2 linked regions of the Cricetulus griseus genome follow. The protein of the gene in region 1 purifies or fractionates together with the protein of each later gene. This does not show direct contact. Links are inferred from orthologs where the notes say so. Each region holds a gene or a part of one and is shown in the gene's direction. Other genes may lie near its edges.

What was found.
Region 2: the proteins of Nudcd3 (region 1) and Klhl9 purify together in Homo sapiens (co-immunoprecipitation; 3 studies listed by BioGRID and IntAct, with this or other methods). This does not show direct contact. The link is inferred for Cricetulus griseus from reciprocal best matches to the Homo sapiens genes NUDCD3 and KLHL9.

Annotation. Positions count from the first base shown.
Region 1 is NW_023276807.1:98,741,538-98,745,352, forward strand, and holds part of Nudcd3 (nudC domain-containing protein 3), read left to right. Parts: intron 1-304; coding exon 305-493; intron 494-3,815.
Region 2 is NC_048595.1:59,402,066-59,406,595, reverse strand, and holds the start of Klhl9 (kelch-like protein 9), read left to right. Parts: upstream 1-1,443; 5' UTR 1,444-1,966; coding exon 1,967-3,823; 3' UTR 3,824-4,530.

The DNA of each region.
Region 1 (3,815 bases):
AGACAGTATGCTTATTCTGAGGACTAAGATCTATAGGATACAGGACTCCTTAAGTGTCAACATGACTTCTGGCTCAGAGGTTCCTGTGTGTGATGATCTCATGTCTACTCATATAGCCACCTTGCCTTTGTGCAGGTCTTAAGCTCAACCTGGGATATCTGCCCCTCTCATACCTTGTTCTGTCCCCGGTACAGTATGCCTGTCCCTTAGTCTGCCCTGTTTACAGTGCTAAGTATTCTTTCCCTAGTGGTTTGGGCTGTTTCCTGCCATACTTGATACAATTTTTTTTTCCTGCTTGTCCCAGGTGAACCTGAGCAAGGTTGGCGAGTACTGGTGGAGTGCGATCCTAGAGGGAGAAGAGCCTATCGACATTGACAAGATTAACAAGGAGCGCTCCATGGCCACTGTGGATGAGGAGGAACAGGCAGTCCTGGACAGACTCACCTTTGACTACCATCAGAAGCTGCAGGGCAAGCCCCAGAGCCATGAGCTGGTATGAGCATCATGGCTCTCTTGTACCATCAGCAGGCGGGTGGGTCATGCTGGTGGGGAAGAAGGCATGAAGATAGGCTAGTCCTGACTTAGTCTCTGCTGCAGTTCTACGATGTCCTACCTAGGAAAGCCCCACTGCTCCTTCATCTCTTCCTTACCTGAGGGTAGGTACATACTGCTACTCAGCCACAACTCATACCTGAGCTGCAAGCTCTGGCATCACAGCCTTGAGAATTTCTCTACATGTGCCCTAACTACACCATAGCCTAGAACTGTTTAGTGTCGGCTTCCCATGGAGCCTAAAAGCCCCATTGATGGAAGGAGGGACGGCCAGGCTGCAGGGCCTGCTTAGGTTCTGACTACAAGAACCAATGCAGAGCAAGTCAGTAGGTTGATGAAGTAAAGTGCTGGGGCTGGGGCTGTAACAAGTGTGAGCTCCGCAGCTTGTGGGAGAGCAAAGGCTCTGACCTGCATAGTGCCCAGGGACAGGCTGCTGGTGCCAGAGAGTGATTACTTAGATAAACACATTTGTTCTTCCTCATAGGAACCCTGAGAGTAGCTACTTACGGAGAAAAGGCTTTTGCCTCAGGTTCTTTTCACTGTCACATGCCCAGCCACATGGTACCTAAGCTTGTATGTGTATAGATCAGGCGTGGCTTAGAGAGGGATCAGCAACTGGGTGTAGGCTTTCTACAGAAAGCAGCCCTCAGGACTCTAGAGAAGTTCATGTGTGTTCCCTGTTGTCTCTGAAGGAGCCTCACTTCTTGGTCTGTGTGAATTGTCCCATCCTTCCCTTCAGAGTAGCAGTGGTCTTTGATACACCATGTTGCTTCATTAGCCACTGTAGTCTGTTTTCATGGACATGTTTCCTGTGAGTAAGGTCAAGAAGCCTTTGGAGGCAGTACTGGTATCTTTACCTCTTCCCCCAGGCCATACCAGGACATATCACGAGCATATCCTGTGATGGGCAGGGTAGGTTGACTGACTGTAGGCCCTGCATAGCAGCCTGGTTAGATGATCTGGTTTTCACAATGAAGAGGTTGAGTTTTTGATGTCTTGGTATGTACTGTACCTCATAGCAGCTTTAACAGTGGGTCTGGGGTTTACTTATCTGTCCTGGTCCCAAGTGGGGTGAGAAGGACGTCTTTTTGGGTCCATGTAACACAGAGGTCCTTAGGCAGCAGCTAGGAAGCTTGGAGCCCTTACTTTAGCAGAGATAGCCAGACCTACTTGGTTACAGTGTAATCTGGTCCTGTTGGCCTGTGTCCACTGGACAGAAAGTCTATCTATGACCCTTTGCCTTATGGATCTGCTCACTCCTGTGTAAGGGTCAGAACTTTGTCCACAAAAGGACTCAGATGTGTATGTAAGGTGACTGCCAGGGAAGAGTCTGTTTTGAGTGGAGCAGTGAATGCAGATACCGTCATCCTGAGTGAGGCAGGAGGAGGAGCTGCCAAGTACAGCTGACAAGTTTGTGGTGCAGAATGGAGAGACCAAGGATGAGTGACTCTTTATACCTTCCCCAGATGCCGTGACTGAGTCTTTGTTGTAGAGAAGCACTGGATATTGATTGTGGTTTGAACTGCCTTTGTGCATTAGCCAAACCTCAGTCAAGTCTTCTATAGACTGTAACTATGAGATATTAGAAAAGCTAGAAGGTTCTACAACTGTTTGCACCTCTTATTCTTAGGGCCCCTGGGATCACATCCCTTGCAGTACACGCAAGTCAACATCCTCAGCGGCGCTTGTCTGGGAGTTAGCAGTTCAGGATCTGCATGATGTGTCAGGTTCTTTGCTCCCTGTCTCCCTGTCTTCTTCCTTCCCCTTGATCCTTGCACTCATTGTTTTCATGCATACACAGCCCTCCTTTCTTCCTGTGGTGCTGATGCCCTCTGGCATGGCCTACTGACACCTTCCTCAAGGACAGATGGAAAATATTTAGTCTGCATCAGTTGAGGGCAGGCATATAAACCGTCTTCAAGTTGTTAAGAGGCCAGCCTCTTTGATCTTATCCAGAGAACAGTTCAACCTTGATTTTCAGTCTCAACAATGGCCCTCTGCAGGGACTGGCTGCTTTGTTTCCATCCCTGTAGGTCTTAGGCCTCCTTGTTCTGATGGCTACCTCCCAGCCAGCAGGTCTGTACTCCAAGACTGTACTTATCTCCAGTAAACCAAGGCAGCTCTCTGAAAGTTCTGGTCTCCAGGATCCTCACTGCCAGTTTGAAACAGGCTAGCAAAAGGGTCAAAAGATAACAGGGCTAAACATCATGTATGTGCACTGTGAACATACACACTTAATGTAGCATCCCATGTGTGACCTGCTGCTAGGAAGCTGTCTCACTACAAAGACGAGGATTTGGGGGTGTCCTGATTTGGCTTTCTATGAAGACTACCCTCTGCCCACAAGACATTGCAGAACCCTGAGTGTGGAACAGGAGGTCCTTACAACTGTGCATAGAAGACTTGTCCGTAGCTGATGTGCAGCTTCCACACAGCTGGTTATGACCCAGCACTGAGAAACTGAGGAGACTGAACAACAACCCAGCTAAGAAGGACCCTAAGAAAAACCCTGAAGATGCTATAGTCTAATGGAAAGAGCTTTGTCTTGAGTTTAAATTGATTGTGCTGTGAACTTGCCACGGACCTGTCAAGGACCACAGAGGAAATGAGTGTACTTGCCCAGATGAGGTGCCCCAGCAAGAGTGCATGGGTGGAATCCAGTGTGATTCCCTCACCAGAGCTGAACTAATCAGGATGGCCAAGGAAGCCTCTAGCTATGGATAATCATGATACAGCCCTGTAGATGTTTGGGCTGTGTTAACTCTAGCATGTCCCACTACCTGCCTGGTGTTGATGCTGAAGTCTTAGCTCTTTTGTAGGCTTGAAATGCCTTGGAGATATATCTTTAGTGTACGGCACTCTAGGGTTCCATGTAAAATATCTTTAGCACCTTCTTTTATTGAACAAAGAGACAGAACTAGACAGAGAGATCCATGGCCTTGTGTTTCCTGATATAGCACGTTAACCACATAACCAACCAATACTCATATGCAGGGGTTTCATGGGTGTTTGAGGTCACTTCTCTAGGATTGCCAGTCCTAACTAACAGAGAGAGAGAGAGAATGGAAATGGGGCCAGGTTCTTCTATCAGCCTCCATCTGCTATGCACATTGGCAGTCACAGTTACCAATGTGCTCTGTATTGATGCCCATTTATGGTGTAAACTTGAAGTTTTCTAAATTTGCCAGAATTTTAAATTGTGCTTCTAATGCCACCAATGCTTTGTATTTTGAAGCATTTTAATTTTGAAGTGGTACTATACC
Region 2 (4,530 bases), on another chromosome or scaffold:
TTCTCACTCTTTTAAAATACTTAAATGTTGGAATATGAAAAGCATCTGTCTCTAATAACCATTAATGTTCGAGTCTGGTTTCTCATCTTTAATAATACAATGACTGATATTGTGATTTTTGCTCTGATACCTTCTTAGGCACTGTGATTTTGTTCTTCCTTTTCCATATAGGAAGTAATCCCTTGGATGTCCCTTTTCACAGATAGCCCACACTTTACAGCAAGTCAGGGAATGCTCACCCCAACTCTTATACCAAATAGCCTCCCAGAATGTTCCTGGACTGGCAAGAATTTCTCAAGATCAGTCTCATTTAAACAGGGCTCTTGTATCAAATAGGTTGGATTGCTGCTAGAGCACCTTGGAAAAACAATGCTGGTCTACTAGCCTCTACAACATGTTTTAAGTAAGCTCTCTATATACCGATTTTGGAAAATCTTGAACAACAACAAAAAAAGAGAAAGATATAACAGGATATATGCTATTTAGTAAAAAAAGAAAAAAACCAAAACAGGAAGTAGAAGAACATAAGCATATTTTTAGTTTGCATACAAGAAAATGCTAGAAAGATTTAAAGACAGCGATAACGTCAAATTCAGAGAATAGAGAGTTATGGCAAATTATACACTTATTGCAAATCACAATTAAAATTTGCAATTAGAGAACTGTGTTTTAATAAATAAAAAAAGTCATAAAAGGGAAATCCAAGAGAAGGGAAATGCAAACCCAAGCAGTGCTGGTAACATTATTTTGGAAACATTGAGTTGAATATTCTAATAAATATTATCATTATTCAATAGAGAATAAGGTTTTGTGTGCAAATTCTCTAAGCTTATTAATTTTCCATAAGACAATGAAGGACAAGGTTTATACACTCAGGAGAAAAACAGTGGGCAAAGTAAACTATAACATGCTTAATTATTGGGAAATTGTGCAACCATTTAAAAAGTATTTAGGAAACAAAACCATGAATAAAGTCTTTATGATGGCTTTCCCTCTCCCTCCAAGTCTTCAAGAGGTATCATTAGGACCAAACTTTAGTAACAAGTTAAATGCCACGTGTTTTAAATGCTTAAAAACACTTACAACTCCTATTTTAAGTGAGGCATTTATTGAGTGTGATGTAAATTGTAAAACTTTTTTTTTTAATTAAATGATACAATGACTTATTCTGCCAGGTTTCTCCTCAGTTTTTAACAAAGGCTGCGTTTCGTGGCTGTTCTGGCACAAGCGAAGAAGCGTAAATCTTAGAAAGAATGCGCTCTTGGAAAGTGGTAAGAAAACCTCACGCAGCAAGCATGCATGCACGCCTGCGCACTCCTGCAAGCTTGCAAGAAGGGGGCCCCCTCCAGGGCCTCGCTGGGGGAGCGCAACCCCGCCCCCAGCCCGCCCGCGCCCTTCCCCCATCCGCCCGCCCCCTTGCCAGGCCAGCCGCGCAGGCGCAGTAGCTGTGCAGCCGCTCCTAACCCGGGGGATCCTGGGATTCGGCCTTTCCGGAAGGACGAGCTAGGTGTTCGGTCTAGGCCGCCGTTCCAGCCCTAAACCAGAGTTCCAGGTCCTGCTCCCAGCCGAGCCGGTGGCCGAGGAGACGCTACGCGGACCTCCGAGGGCGTAGCGGCGACTGGCGGAGGTGCGGAGCCCGGCGGGCGGTGGCGGCGGTGCGCAGGCCGTGACGGCCCCTCCCCCGCCCCGAGAGCAGCTGCAGAGGACGACAGCGCGGGCCCGCCGCGGTGAAGCGGTCGCTGAACTGCCTCAGGTTATGACTCACCGGCTTTACTGTCACATTTGAGGTCCGCCGGCCGCGTTGCGTGATCCTGCCGCAGGGCGGGCGTGGGTGTGCGCGGAGCGGAGCGGAGCGGGGCTGCGGCGACTGATCGCCCTTGGTTCGTTCTGCGGCCCTGAGTTTGCTCAGAGCGTTCTCTTTGTAACGTCTGCGGCCTGTGGCTCGCTGCGAACGCAGGGCTCTCACATGAAGGTGTCTCTCGGTACCGGCGGCGAGATGGGCGTCTCTGCCCACCTGCAGCCCTGCAAGGCAGGAACGACGCGGTTTTTTACCAGCAATACCCACAGCTCGGTGGTGTTGCAAGGCTTTGATCAGCTCAGACTCGAGGGCCTGCTTTGTGACGTGACTCTGGTACCTGGTGATGGCGATGAGATCTTCCCGGTTCATAGAGCCATGATGGCGTCTGCTAGCGATTATTTCAAGGCCATGTTCACAGGCGGAATGAAAGAACAAGATTTAATGTGCATTAAACTTCATGGGGTGAACAAAGTTGGCCTGAAGAAAATCATTGATTTTATTTATACCGCAAAATTGTCCCTTAACATGGACAATCTTCAGGACACCCTTGAAGCTGCCAGCTTTCTACAAATCTTACCAGTTTTGGACTTTTGTAAAGTATTTCTTATATCAGGCGTCTCTTTAGATAACTGTGTTGAGGTCGGACGGATTGCTAACACCTACAATCTTATAGAAGTGGATAAATATGTAAATAATTTCATCCTGAAGAACTTTCCTGCATTGCTGAGTACTGGGGAGTTCCTAAAACTCCCCTTTGAACGGCTTGCCTTTGTGCTTTCCAGCAATAGTCTCAAGCACTGTTCCGAACTTGAACTTTTCAAGGCAGCCTGCCGCTGGTTGAGGCTGGAAGACCCTCGGATGGACTATGCTGCAAAATTAATGAAGAATATTCGATTTCCACTGATGACACCACAGGACCTCATCAACTATGTGCAGACAGTAGATTTCATGAGAACAGACAATACCTGTGTGAATTTACTTTTGGAAGCAAGCAATTACCAAATGATGCCATATATGCAGCCAGTGATGCAGTCAGACAGAACTGCCATTCGCTCTGATTCCACTCACCTTGTTACCTTAGGAGGCGTTCTGAGGCAGCAGCTAGTGGTCAGTAAAGAATTGAGGATGTACGATGAAAGGGCACAGGAGTGGAAGTCCTTAGCCCCCATGGATGCTCCTCGATACCAGCATGGCATTGCTGTTATTGGAAATTTCCTTTATGTAGTTGGTGGTCAGAGTAATTATGATACAAAAGGAAAAACTGCTGTTGATACAGTTTTCAGATTTGACCCTCGGTATAATAAATGGATGCAGGTGGCATCATTAAATGAAAAGCGCACATTCTTTCACCTGAGTGCCCTTAAAGGACATTTGTATGCAGTTGGTGGGCGCAGTGCAGCTGGTGAACTGGCCACAGTAGAATGTTACAACCCAAGAATGAACGAATGGAGCTATGTTGCGAAAATGAGTGAACCCCACTATGGTCATGCCGGAACAGTGTATGGGGGTCTAATGTATATTTCAGGAGGAATTACTCATGACACTTTCCAAAATGAGCTCATGTGTTTTGACCCAGATACAGACAAATGGACACAGAAGGCTCCTATGACTACAGTCCGAGGCCTGCACTGCATGTGTACAGTTGGAGACAAGCTGTATGTGATTGGTGGCAACCACTTCAGAGGAACAAGTGATTATGATGATGTTCTCAGCTGCGAATATTATTCACCAACTCTTGACCAGTGGACTCCAATTGCTGCTATGCTGAGAGGTCAGAGTGATGTTGGAGTTGCTGTTTTTGAAAACAAAATCTATGTTGTTGGTGGATATTCTTGGAATAACCGTTGCATGGTAGAAATTGTCCAGAAGTACGACCCGGAAAAAGATGAGTGGCATAAAGTTTTTGATCTTCCAGAGTCACTTGGCGGCATTCGGGCTTGTACTCTCACAGTTTTTCCGCCTGAAGAAAACCCTGGGTCACCTTCAAGAGAATCGCCTCTTTCAGCACCTTCAGATCATTCTTAGATACAAGGTGTAATACCTTTTCAGTGTATTCATGGATGATCTCCCTTCCCCTTCAATTGTCTCTTATTACTCTCTACAGTTAATAGACAAAAAGGTAACTTAGGGTTTTTTGTTTTGCTTAATATGTTATTAAATGGCTACCAAGTACATTCTGAAAAAAATGTGTTTTAACACATATTTAGCTGTTTTAACAAGTGAAAGATATATGAAAAATTAGATATCTTTTGTGGTGTTACATATGTCAAATTGTAGGTGATCATAGTGAATGTGTAATTGTCTATTATGCTACAAAGTTGAAAGTTTTGATTTGACTAAAACAGTAAAATGAAGGTCCCCCTGTTATAAACTAAAATAATAAAAGATTGCCAAGGTACAGCTACCTCCCTCTTGGATAGTTTTTGACAATTTGTTAACTAGGCTATGTGATTACTCTTAGAATATATGAAGTTTCTTAGGTAGAAGTAGTAGTACAAATATTAACTAGAAGTAACAGTAAGTCAAGATTTGTTATCTTACTGGAGAAAAGAAAATTTTGACGTGTATACATAAGACATAATATGTGCTCACACAAAAATTCATGTGTACATACATATAAGCTTTTAGAACTGATAGAAACTTCATCGGTAGTGAAAATGAGCTAATGTTTTCTTCCGCAAAGCAGCTCCTTTTATTTCAATGAAAATTCAATACCAGAGAGTTAGTGTCTA